Saccharomyces cerevisiae S288C: one gene and its partner. The gene in region 1 interacts genetically with each later gene. Each region holds a gene or a part of one and is shown on either strand. Other genes may lie near its edges.

Evidence for each region.
Region 2: mutations in HUR1 (region 1) and MMS1 together harm fitness more than expected from each alone (negative genetic interaction), as found in Saccharomyces cerevisiae (4 studies listed by BioGRID, with this or other methods).

The regions. Positions count from the first base shown.
Region 1 is NC_001139.9:183,439-190,906, reverse strand, and holds HUR1 (Hur1p), read right to left. Parts: upstream 3,444-7,468; coding exon 3,111-3,443; downstream 1-3,110. Other genes in the region: Ca(2+)/Mn(2+)-transporting P-type ATPase PMR1, read left to right, coding at 439-3,291; SUA5 (threonylcarbamoyladenylate synthase), read right to left, coding at 3,568-4,848; SPO74 (Spo74p), read left to right, coding at 5,513-6,754; RNA-dependent ATPase ROK1, read right to left, coding at 6,823-7,468.
Region 2 is NC_001148.4:868,962-875,426, reverse strand, and holds MMS1 (Mms1p), read right to left. Parts: upstream 4,725-6,465; coding exon 501-4,724; downstream 1-500. Other genes in the region: Rho family GTPase RHO1, read right to left, coding at 1-59; TIF3 (Tif3p), read left to right, coding at 5,472-6,465. UniProt on the Saccharomyces cerevisiae protein: Component of multiple cullin-RING-based E3 ubiquitin-protein ligase complexes (CRLs), which mediate the ubiquitination of target proteins. The CRL associates with CDC34 as the E2 ubiquitin-conjugating enzyme.

The DNA of each region.
Region 1 (7,468 bases):
GTTGCGTTCCTAGCAAGGATCGGTTGGTATCAATTGCACGTTCAGCTCATCCCTAGATAACCACTTAACAGCAAAGCCGATCGTTAAACTTTTGTATTCTACATTCTAGTTGCATTTTTTTTTTTTTTCATTTTGTTACATCAAGACAAGATTCTCTATTTAAAGAAGTACTTTTTTTGTTAACAGTGTGGACCCTACCTATCGTTATATCGAGATCTTGTTCCCTAGGCCATCGTACACTATAGCCCTTCCTTCAAGCACTTAATAGAAAAACCTCTTTTTCTACACCATCATAATAGTGTTTGCTCGCCCCGTTCTTTCCATTCCCATTTATAACAATACTAGTAACTATAATAATATCCTTACGACTGGGCAAGACAAGACGAAGCAAGGCCAGCACAGACGTAAGCTTAAGTGTAAGTAAAAGATAAGATAATTATGAGTGACAATCCATTTAATGCGAGTCTTCTTGACGAGGACTCAAACCGTGAGAGAGAAATACTAGATGCCACAGCAGAGGCCCTTTCGAAACCAAGCCCTTCTTTAGAGTATTGTACTTTATCCGTGGACGAAGCTCTAGAAAAACTGGACACTGACAAAAACGGTGGTTTACGATCATCTAACGAGGCCAACAATAGGAGATCACTTTATGGCCCCAATGAAATAACCGTAGAAGATGATGAAAGTCTTTTCAAGAAGTTCTTGTCAAATTTCATTGAGGATCGAATGATTCTACTTTTAATAGGATCCGCAGTGGTCTCTCTTTTTATGGGTAACATTGATGATGCTGTTAGTATCACACTGGCCATTTTCATAGTTGTCACTGTCGGTTTTGTCCAAGAATATAGGTCTGAAAAATCTCTAGAAGCGTTGAATAAATTGGTTCCTGCTGAATGTCACTTAATGAGATGTGGTCAAGAGAGTCATGTACTGGCTTCCACCTTGGTTCCTGGTGATTTAGTGCACTTCAGAATAGGTGACAGAATCCCCGCAGACATTAGAATTATTGAAGCAATCGATTTATCCATCGATGAAAGTAATTTAACTGGTGAAAATGAACCGGTACATAAAACCTCACAAACGATCGAAAAATCTTCCTTTAACGATCAGCCTAATTCAATTGTACCGATTTCTGAGAGATCTTGTATAGCTTATATGGGTACATTAGTCAAGGAAGGTCATGGTAAGGGTATCGTCGTAGGAACAGGTACAAACACATCCTTTGGTGCCGTTTTTGAAATGATGAATAATATTGAAAAACCGAAGACTCCATTGCAGTTAACAATGGACAAATTGGGAAAGGACTTGTCACTGGTTAGCTTCATAGTTATTGGTATGATTTGTTTAGTTGGTATCATACAAGGTAGATCTTGGTTAGAAATGTTCCAAATATCGGTATCCTTAGCGGTTGCTGCTATTCCAGAAGGGTTACCAATTATTGTCACTGTTACTTTGGCATTGGGTGTTCTGAGAATGGCCAAGCGTAAAGCCATCGTGAGAAGGTTACCAAGTGTCGAAACTTTAGGCTCTGTCAACGTTATCTGCTCCGACAAAACAGGTACACTAACCTCAAACCACATGACCGTATCTAAACTTTGGTGCTTGGACAGTATGTCCAATAAGCTAAACGTCCTCTCATTAGACAAAAATAAGAAGACTAAAAATTCTAATGGAAATTTGAAAAACTATTTGACTGAAGACGTTAGGGAAACTCTAACTATCGGTAATCTCTGTAATAATGCATCTTTCTCTCAAGAACATGCCATATTTCTGGGAAATCCTACTGATGTAGCTCTTTTAGAGCAATTGGCAAACTTTGAAATGCCTGATATCAGAAACACCGTTCAAAAAGTTCAGGAACTTCCATTTAACTCGAAAAGAAAATTAATGGCAACCAAGATTCTCAACCCTGTCGACAATAAGTGTACAGTTTATGTTAAAGGTGCATTTGAAAGAATTCTTGAGTACTCCACAAGTTATTTGAAATCAAAGGGTAAAAAAACTGAAAAGTTGACTGAAGCCCAAAAAGCTACGATAAATGAGTGCGCAAATTCTATGGCATCTGAAGGTTTGCGTGTCTTTGGATTTGCTAAACTAACTTTGTCTGATTCATCAACTCCTCTAACCGAAGACCTAATCAAAGATTTAACCTTTACTGGTTTAATCGGTATGAATGACCCACCAAGACCGAACGTTAAATTTGCCATCGAACAATTACTACAAGGTGGTGTCCATATTATTATGATCACTGGTGATTCTGAGAATACCGCAGTAAACATTGCAAAACAAATTGGTATTCCAGTTATTGATCCAAAGCTTTCCGTTTTATCCGGTGATAAATTAGATGAAATGTCAGATGATCAACTGGCCAATGTCATCGACCACGTTAATATTTTTGCTCGTGCTACGCCTGAGCATAAGTTAAACATTGTTCGTGCATTAAGAAAGAGGGGTGATGTGGTAGCAATGACTGGTGATGGTGTTAACGACGCTCCTGCGTTGAAACTTTCAGATATTGGTGTTTCTATGGGTAGAATTGGTACAGATGTAGCCAAAGAAGCCTCAGATATGGTCTTAACTGATGATGACTTCAGTACTATTTTAACTGCCATTGAAGAGGGTAAAGGTATCTTTAATAATATTCAGAATTTCCTGACTTTTCAATTGTCTACTTCTGTTGCCGCACTATCATTAGTTGCACTATCTACAGCGTTTAAACTACCCAATCCACTGAACGCAATGCAAATTCTTTGGATAAATATTTTAATGGATGGGCCACCAGCTCAATCCTTAGGTGTGGAACCTGTTGATCATGAAGTTATGAAAAAACCTCCAAGAAAACGTACCGATAAAATTTTGACCCATGATGTAATGAAACGTTTACTAACCACCGCGGCCTGTATCATCGTTGGGACAGTTTACATTTTTGTTAAAGAGATGGCCGAAGATGGTAAAGTAACTGCTAGAGATACTACTATGACATTTACTTGTTTTGTTTTTTTTGATATGTTTAATGCTTTGGCCTGCAGACATAACACAAAGTCAATCTTCGAAATCGGCTTTTTCACGAACAAAATGTTCAACTACGCCGTTGGACTGTCTCTGTTAGGTCAAATGTGCGCTATATATATACCATTTTTCCAAAGTATCTTTAAAACTGAGAAACTTGGTATCTCTGATATACTATTGTTATTGCTCATCAGCAGTAGCGTTTTCATCGTTGATGAATTGAGAAAATTGTGGACGAGGAAAAAGAATGAAGAAGACTCAACGTATTTCTCAAATGTTTGATATGTCACATTTTGTGCTTTTATCGTTTTTCCTTCCTTCCCTTTATCTTTCATGAGGACGCCCAACCCTATTGAGGTAAATGTACTAATTAATGGGAACATATGTAGATGTATATATGTACATATATTTACAACGGATACTAAGATAAACATGTATGGGCGACTTTTCGTATATACAAAGCAATATAAAATTTTATTCTTTCCTTCTTTTTCCGGACTAGATATAAAATCTCCGTAATCAGTGGTTATGATTTTCAAAAGTTAATCACAGTTTTATTTAAAACTGTATACAATTATTTGCAGCCGCCTTTCGCAATCTGTTCATAACAGCTAATCCTTCTCCTTCCTCATTTATACCTTCGACAAATATTAGGTCTACTTTATCATTTTCATCCACTTTTCTTAAAGCTGCAAACAAGTTAGTCTGTATTTCTTCACCAGATTGGCCAAGTCTTTCGATGATGAAAGTTTTCGAAGAAAAATCGGGTTCATTAAAGATCTTAGATTGTAAGTCGGAATCACGTAATTTTAGGGAAGTTAAAATCGCAATTTTTTTTATATTACTGTTGGCTTTTAATTCCGTTTCGATTAACCTCTTTAATCTTTCCATCCTATCAACGCCCTTAAGAATGCCATCGCCTTCGCAATGAGGAACTAGTAAAACAACTTTAGCTGAAGGGGAATAGTGTCTATACTTCATACCAGGCGTTCTTACCTTTTCGCCCTTTTCAACTGTTTTCTTATTCTCAACTTTACAAAGAGACCAAGCTTCACCACCCAATTTAACAATTTCTTCATATGTAAAACCGCCAGGTCGCAGTAGCGTAGGAGGATTACATAACCCATCAACAACAGTACTTTCTACACCAACCTTGCACGCTCCGCCATCAAGAATTATGGGAATTTTATCCTTTAGATCATGATAAACATGAGACGCTAAAGTAGGAGATGGCCTAGTAGACGCATTCGCTGAAGGAGCAGCTATTGGTGTATCGCTCAGGGCAATCAGTGCTCTAGCCACTGGATTAGCGGGTATGCGTACCGCAAACGTAGGCTGATCTGCGGTCGTTAACTTTGATAATGCACTATGCTCTGAAGATGGAACTGGCAAAAGAATTGTTAATGGGCCAGGCCAAAGGCTTGAAATTAATGGGCGATAGATTGAGGGTATGTTATCAAACAAGGATGTACCTGATAGATGCGGTTGATTAAAGACCTTTCTGTTAAGTTGATCAATGGATGAAACATGTGTAATCAAAGGATTGTCACTAGGCCTATTTTTGGCCCTGTATATACTAAGCACTGAATTATCATTTAAAGCAGAACCTCCAAGACCATAAACAGTTTCGGTTGGAAAAGCCACAGTCTCATCTGTATCTCTTATTATCCTCGCCGCTTCAACTAGCGCTGCTTCCGTTTCAGGATCTGTTATCGTTGGTAAGGAACCATCTATATGCGCATCAGGGGAGAAAATGATTGATAGCGGGTTAACTTTTAAGATCTTGGTATCAAACAGTGCTTTCGATGTCATTGCCAAAAAATGTCGTCCAAGGTACATACAATTCTAAAAATGGAATAATAAACAGGACTACCATTAAAAATGGAAACAGGTTTAGTGGTAAGTTAACAGCGCAGAAGAAAAAAAAAATTTGAGGAGAAGAATAAAGCTCTCGCTTCAAATATTATCAGCTTCAATAGGTATGTGCGATGAGGTTACTATCTTCTGGGTGAAAAAATAGTAAGGCTAGCGTAGATAATGATTTGAAATTTCTCAAAAAAATATTTTTGATACATATAATAATTTTGAAGCCTGAATTTTTCAACGAAATAGCCTTGTTGGCGCAATCGGTAGCGCGTATGACTCTTAATCATAAGGTTAGGGGTTCGAGCCCCCTACAGGGCTATCTTTTTTAGGCTCAAATCAAAAAAATGTCTAATATATTAAATTCTACTTCCTTTTTATATCTCAAAGAAGAAGGCATTTAACCCCATTCATATGGTTTACACTTGTGTTGAGATTTGTTGCTTGCGCTTCTTTTATCCTTTTAAACCGCTTATTTATCCTTTCCAACGATAAGGCTCAAATGACATCAATGTTCTCTTTTGTGTCACAAGAAATATAAATAACAACAATAAAACATTAGGTATTTAGTTGGAAGTCAAACTTGAAACTCTTCCCGGTTATGTTGTATTGGCAAGGAAAGAGCTGAATTGGTTGAGTGATGGGAGCTGGCACTCTTTTAAATGGATTAGAAAAGGAAAACTTTCCAAATAACATCCATTCAGATTTGCCTGCGTATCCTAACATGGATTCTCAAGAAGATGGCAATACTAGTAAGGAAAGTAAAAGAAATAGTCCAGTAAAACAGAAGTCCCAAAAAGATGAAGAAAAGTCATCTAAAATGGGGACTGCAAGCAACATATTCCATGAAAATAAAGATATACACGAAAGATCTGAACACACGGACGATTTTAATGATGGCTTAAAACTGGCTCCGGACTCTAGTCCAAGCTTGAAAGAGTGTCAATTTAAAAATTGGGAAAGTTTTTGGTGTAATACAGAAGGTTACAAAACTAAACACATGCAGCCCTTTCATTTTACAAGCGGATTAGAAGAAATAAAGGAACCGGTCATGGAATTGAATATTTCCACTTCACCATACAAGGGACAGAGGCCAAATTCAGCTCCAACCGAGTATTCAGCTGCCACAACAGCGTTTACCAAAACACAATTAGAGGTGAGTTTTCTAAAAACCAACTTGCTTACATACATTAAAAAAGAGATTGACATTTGCTTGTCAAGTGTTCCATTTTTTGACGACGCAGTTCAAATGCAAAAGAAATTCTTGGAATACAGAGATATTGACTTGGATGAAGAATATGAGCTCAAAATTTTGGGGGAACTTTTGAATGATTTAAACTTCTTTCATATGCAAGAAAACTCTTTGCTAAATAGAGAGCTAGCAGTTCGTAGATTCTCCAATCAACCTGAAAGTCAAAATTTACCTTCCATTAGGGATTTTAGAAATCCACTTTTGCCAATAGATAACCGCCCTTCTCCCCCATTAGGATTGAAAAGAAACGGAAAGTCTTTCGAGGAAACCTATGATTTCACGTCCAATACATCAAATTTTTGGGGAGAAAAAGCAGAACTACAAAACTCCATAACTGGTGGAACACCCTATTTTTTCCACCCTAACAATATACATCAAACAAAACCTTTTATGTCATTTGAAAATCAAAATGAACTTCTATTCCAGAGAAAAAATTCAGATTACAAGCAGCATTTTAACTCTGGAAGAAATATACATAATGGAGTGGAATCGAAATCTTACAGAGGTGTGGGGTTAAACGATAGTTATCAAAAGGGTTATGCAGCAATGACAAAGTCGTTTGGAAATATCGATTTAAATAGAATGCCCAGAAGAAGTAATGAAGAAATGTATAGCTGGTCACGTAATTGATCAATGAAAGTAAATAAAAAAAACTACTAATCATATATACATGTCTTGCATACGCACGTTTGTTTATATTATTTCGAGAAATGTTTTTTTGAAAGTTCTTCATTTTTTCTTCTTTTGGATGCTGCAATCATTTCTTGTTGACGTCTTCTTTTGGCCTTATCCATCTTAGGCACAGTAGTAATCTGCTTTCTTTCTTTATGCGCTTTACCGTTTTTTATACTTTCTTTCTCCTTTCTGGTCATTTTAGCCATTTTATCCATCCACTCAGATACTTCACAACCACTTTGTTTCATGACATTTATTATTGGTTTAATAGCTACTGAGTCTTGTTTAGTATAGAATGTGATAGCTTTACCTGACCGCCCACCTCTACCTGTTCTACCAATTCTGTGAACATAAGCCTGAGACGATCCTGGAACGTCATAATTGATGACCAGATTGACACCTTTGAAGTCAATACCACGAGCTAAAACGTCGGTACAGATCAAACACCATAATTCACCAGTTTTAAATCGTTCAATAATCCTGTCTCTTTGTAAGGCTGTTCTTTCTGCATGAATCACATCTACGTTAATCCTATCGTACATCAATTCATGATATAACGCTTTTGCTCTTGTAATAGACTCTAAAAATATTATGATCGGTGGCTTGAACTCACCCTCTTGAACGAGTTGTCTAATAGCAATTAGTTTACCCTCTTCATTACCACAAAAT
Region 2 (6,465 bases), on another chromosome or scaffold:
GCACCATCACCAACGATTACCAGCTTTCTTCTGATACTGTTACCAACTTGTTGTGACATCTTTCTAGTATAATTTTTAAAGTTCTATGATTTTCTATTAGTGCAACAATAAACCTCTAACAGCGATTCTTTTGTTTTATTAATTTTGTTCCTTTTTTGAGTTTTGTAACTTTAAGTTTGGGTTGTTCCAAAAATGTTTTTGCAATACTCAGAGGAATGATCGATGGTCGAAACGATATTAAAGACGAATTCCTGCTGGTAAAATAAATATATACGATTAGGATAAAGAAGTATTTGTATCAACTACTAAAACATGTAGTACCCAATACAAATCAAACAAAAATTGTATAATCTGTTTATTTTTTTTTCTGAGGCGAAGCAAATTGGAAACAACAAGAATTCTTGTATCTTTTTTTAGCCCCTTGTCACGCTGCACGACGCGTAGCACATTGATCGAGAATCACGATTTTATCAGCGACAATGTTATTGGAAATGAGGGAATTATACTGTGTTCTTGCAGTTATCGCTAAGGTTCCATAACCCAACCTCACAGATGAGGTCAGATTTAACTATTGACCTTCTTGAAACCAAATAGCCAGAATTCCATCTTGGTTCGTATTCGTCCTGGCAAGGCAACCTGTCCTTGCCGAATTTGTGAATTGTTTGATCTGCCATTAGCACATATAAAGTTTGTACTGCGGGATCGTAACTAATATCTTGAATAGGCTTGTCCAATGCTACCGCATTATAGGGAGATAGTCTTTTAGTTCTCATTGCAGTGCTTCCTAATATAGAACTTATATCCTCAAAATAACGGGATGATACATGATCCTCATATACTATAGTGGCGGCTCGGCGTAGTGAAGGTTTTGGTGTAGAAGAGTGGTTTCGCCAAAAGAGTAGTAAATTTCTACGCTGCCTTAGGGCAACCTCTGCTTCGTCATTCTCCGACCGTATGCCTTCGCTGTAACGATTTACGTGCCTCTCACCATGTAAAACATCATACAAAGCCATAGTGCCAAATTGAAATCCTTCAGGAAAGTCAACCTCGAATATGTCGTCGACTCTCCCATTCCCATATTCATCTGGTAGGCTGCCTGTTTCGTTATTAAGCCCAACTTTGATGGTGGGTAAAGAGTAAAAAATTAATCTTGAATCTAAATCGTTCCTATTTCCACAGTAAGCGGCAACAACAAAGCAGCATTCATTTAATGGTATTATCTTTTGAACTTTTGAATCAGGATACATTTCCAAGGGATACACCCTTCTCGATTCGTCAGATGATGAAGAGAAATCCTTAATCAAGTAGAGCTTTTCGCCCATATTTGTGGTAGCAATGATATTATCGCCTACTACAGTAAACGTCTTAACTGTACTCCAACTCTTAAATGTAAACCGGGTTTCCAAAGTGAGCCGCAAAGTCGTATTATTTCTCTCCTCCTGGTCAATGCAATGTTTTGTGACTTTCAACTTGTTAAAGGACATTTCGTTATCGGTGCCCATAACTTTATAATCCAGAAAGAATATTTCACCTCTGGGAGTAATGACCAAATGATTGAGGAGTCTTGAATTGTCAAGTTTATACGAATCTATTATTTGATTGGAAATTTTGTTTTTTGCAGCAGTTAATAAAACTAGTTTTAATGAGCTAGTAAAAGAGATCAATAATACAGTTTTCTTTTCTAAAGGATTGTCCTCTGTTGCTATTGGTAATTCCTTTATTTCTAGGATTTCTTCAGAATCATCCTTAAGAAGTTGAGAATCTAAACCAACTGCCTTACCATCTGATAGTCTAATACACTCCCATTCCCTCAAGTCCTGATTCAATACCAGCATTCGATTTATTTTGTCTAGATATAAAAATTTCTTATTTTTGCTTCTTGTAGATTTTAATAAGAAATTTCCATTATTTGATGTTAGGTATGATAGTTCGAGGATTCTTAAGCCATCAGAGTAGAGTATGAATAATTGGTTGTTTTCTATGTCCGGACAGACTTCAAGAATTGAATTGTTATTACCTAGGTGCGGTAATTTTAGCTTGTAAAAATCCAATTCTCTACTGTCGTGAATTGGCGTTAAATTGATGACAAAAATTTCAAATGCACTAAATGCCAAACATTGATTCACACCAAAGCTTCTAAATTTAATATCTTTCCCTTGAAAATTAACTCTGCTTGTACATCTGGATCCTTTTTTGAAGCAGTTGTTCTGTAAAGTGTGCACCTCAAAATATGATTCATAATCGAGAGAGCAAAAATAAGGGCCGTTTATTAACGCCTGCTGAACACTCAAAATATACACATCAGAAAAATCAAGTGAATCACTAATCCAGTCAGAAAAGGGTGTACGAATGACACAGTCTGGTAAAAGGATCCAAATGTCATACTTGGTTGGATCATCTGTAGACTCTTTGATTTGAAAATTGACACTCGTGACAGTTCCTAACTGCTTGAAGAACTTGCTCATGCCTTTGCTGCTGCTTAAGTTTGAAACTAAGGCGCCAGACTCATCAACAGCGTCTATATTTTCAATATAAGAGACACAGCCAAGCCCAGCATTCCAAACTATTAAAATACCATCATTGTATGTAACGTTTTCGAATTCCCAACCTGGAGAAATCTTACGCAACTCTTTGTCCCCACCAATGGGATCGATGTATATCGTATCCCTAGTTACTTGAATCAAGTTATTTTTCGTAAAATTTAGAAGGATAGTTTCGTTTTCAGTATCACATAGTAAATCTTCTATATTTATCAGTCCTTGAACGGGATCATCATTATCGATTGTCGTTGTCATAGTTAAATCTAATAAAAATATTCTGTTGTTAGAAACAGCGTCGGTCGCAAAAATTAACGAACTTTCGGTATTTGACTGGTTTATTCCAAGTCTCTGTAACAGAGCAATATCAAGGTTCTTACATTTCCATATCCTAAGATGTCTAAAAATTTGAAATTGCTTTAAGTGGATAAGTTGATGAGTTTTCCTGAGTTTATAATCAATGCAAGGTTGAGTTATTGCATTTGGTGAGGTAAGCCAAACTTGAGAATTTCTCGTGTCATTGATGTTAGAGCCTGTGTGTGTGTTATAAAATTTAGAAGACGTAAATGCTAAAATTTGAGAGTTCTCCTCTGTGGAACTATCAATTGTGTGCTTGAAGGTGATATTTTTCAAAGGCTTAATAACGTCTTTTTTATCTAAACATCTCAAATCTTCTAGAGATAATGTTAGCTCTAATGTTCTACTAAAACTTATGACCACCAGTACATAACTTGAGGATCTGGAGTCTAAATTTATCGGATTTGAAGGTAGTGGTGAAATGGATTTCAATCCTTTGAACCTAGTTAGCTCGTAAAATTTTAAATTACCATTTACTATTGTCGATCGTTCGGTGACGCAAAAACAAATATTTCCTGTCGAGGAGGATATTATGGTACAATATTGGAATTTTTTAAATGTATGTGGGTGTAGTTCTTGTAATTTTAATAACAATAAAGGAGCTGGAAAAAATGACTTGATTCCCTTGAGAGCCTTCAATTGGAATGAGTGGAATTCAGTCTCTCCTGACATAATTTGATTTGCAGAAACTAAAGAGAACTTTAGGGGTGTTTCGACTAAACATGCATTTAGTCCAATGGGTATTGTCATATTAGTCTTCTCACCATCAAATACTGTCAATTGATATACCTCTTTTTTCTTTATTTCGTTGTTGTTCCATTCTATGACAAAGTAGACTATCCTTTCATATCTTATGGCTGTTATAAATATAATGAAATAGGGATCTAAATCAGTGTAATTTGTTGGGAAAAAGGATCCGTTCATAATCACGGAATCGGTCAATGTTAAATTGTTTACTAATTGAAAAGTAAATGGTAAATGGAATTCAAAAAATTTGCAAATGCCTAGTTCCTTATGTATAAGAACAAACTGCTTCTCGTTTTGGTGCTTGATTATGTTCCACTGACCTTTTTGTCCCAGGTTCCAATATTGTAGCAAATATGTCTCTTTACCGTCATCAAGCGGTAAAATAGACAATAAGTGACCACTTGGTTGAGTGAGTAATATTAAAATTGCAACGTTGTTGGGTTTTATAGCTATGCTGCCAGATATGCCAGACTGTATGTATGTTATTGAAGTGCTACCTGTTTGAAAGATTCCATTGTTGGATACTATTAAACTGAAATGCTTTTGTTGGATTTCTTCCAGCGCCTGCAATTCAATTTTTGGTTCTTTAACATTACCGCTGTCACTGCTCATTTCTATGTCATCCAATGCTTCTATATCTGAATCATCTAAGGTTTCTGGGTTTTTATCAATGTCAAAAAGACTACCTATTAGTGTGTTATACTTTTGAGGGAAGCCGTCTGACAGTTCAGAACGTTCTTGCAAAATGTATTTTAATACTGGTTTAAAATTTATCGGACTTGAGATTGGATAACAAAATTGAGGCATTTGACCAATATTCGAATCGTGATATCTGAGCATCATCATTGATGGTTCTAGCTTTGGCCCTACACAAGGTCTCACCCAAGTTTCATCCTCGGTATTTTGATAAAAAAGCTCAGGTTCATTCCACTCACGTGTGGTGCTTGAATCAATTAATAAATTGGGGGAAACTCGGAATGACTTATGATTCAACCAATCTTGCAGCTCAAGTTTGCCAAAATCCGACGGGCGACGAATATAATGTTCATACCTGTCTAAACCATGAGTTCGCAAACCTAGCATACCTAATTGACACCGTACTACTTTAATTAGACCCAGAAACGAAACGGAATGTGAAGCGATTTCTTCTCTTCTTCCAATTCTTTTGCAGAGCCCATCTCTGGCAAAGGGCCATTTGTTGGAAATCACTCTAACATGGCTTCTGTTTCCCGATAATATGCGGGTAATGCCTCGCACTTCCTTTGGTTTTGAATTTATGCTATTCTCTTTCTTTGCACATCTAACTTGAAGTGATTAGTACCAGATTGAGCTCAGCTTCTCAAAATTATTTCGAACATATCAATTTAGTTTGTAAGTCATAAAAATCGATATTTTTTGCTTTTTCCTTTTTTCCTAAATCTTCTTGACTGCTTGCAATCTTTGTATCTTCATCTTTCCTTTCTCATGTTTCCAAATTTAGCCTGTATATTCATAGAGACTTCTTAAAGTAAATTTTGGCAGGATAATAGGGTACTGAAATCTATGTTGCTTTTTATATCCTGGCGCTACTTAGCCGCCCAACCTTTTTGTCTTCTTGTCTTTTTTTCTTTTTGGCTTTATTTCTCATCAGATCACGCACCACGGAATGAAAATTTTTTTGCGGAAATCAGCATCGCTAAAGAAAAGCAGAAATAGAAGCAGAAGAGATAGATATAACTACAGAGTTAGAGAAGATCAGTAGACCAATAAGCGGGATTATCATAAAACTCGAGTTTATATTAGCTTTCATCTGTCTTTAGGAAAATAATACCATAATAAAAAGGACACATCATGGCTCCACCAAAGAAAACCGTAAAGAAGATGGACCTTACGTCATTTTTAAATGATGACACCTTTGGTTCATCTTGGGCTGAAGAAGATGTCGATTTGAATAAGATCACAATTCCTATTGAAACCGCTAATGCAAACACTATTCCATTGTCCGAATTGGCTCATGCTAAAAACAACAGCAATAACACGCGTTCAGGCGGCTTTGGTGGCAGTTTTGGAGGTAGATCTAGATTAGACCCTGCTTTGGGGGGCGGTTCTTCCGATAGAAGAGAGGAATACCCTGTTCCAGATGCTCCACCATATAGGGCTGTCATAAACAACATTCCATGGGATATTACCCCAGAGGGTGTTCAAGCCTGGGTTGAAGATGGTTTAGTTAAGCCTGAAGCGGTTGAAGAAGTTGTTTTGCCAAAGAATCTAAGAGACCCAACAAGATTAAAGGGTAATGCTTTCGTTACTTTGAAAGAAAGAGCAGATTTGGTCGCCGTTCTGAAGTTCAACGGTACTAAATTGAATGAGAGAACTGTTTACGTTTCTGTTGCGGCTCCAAGAAGAGGGGGAGGTGCAGATGTTGATTGGAGTAGTGCTAGAGGCTCCAATTTCCAAGGTGATGGAAGAGAAGATGCACCAGATCTTGATTGGGGTGCCGCTAGAGGTTCTAACTTCAGAGGTCCAAGAAGAGAAAGAGAAGAAGTTGATATTGACTGGACTGCTGCAAGAGGTTCCAATTTCCAAGGCTCTTCCAGACCACCAAGAAGAGAAAGAGAAGAAGTTGATATCGACTGGAGCGCTGCAAGAGGCTCCAATTTCCAAGGCTCTTCCAGACCACCAAGAAGAGAAAGAGAAGAGCCAGATATTGACTGGAGTGCAGCTAGAGGCTCTAACTTTCAAAGCTCCTCGAGGCCACCAAGAAGAGAAAGAGAAGAGCCAGATATTGACTGGAGTGCAGCCAGAGGTTCCAACTTCCAAAGCTCCTCAAGACCACCAAGAAGAG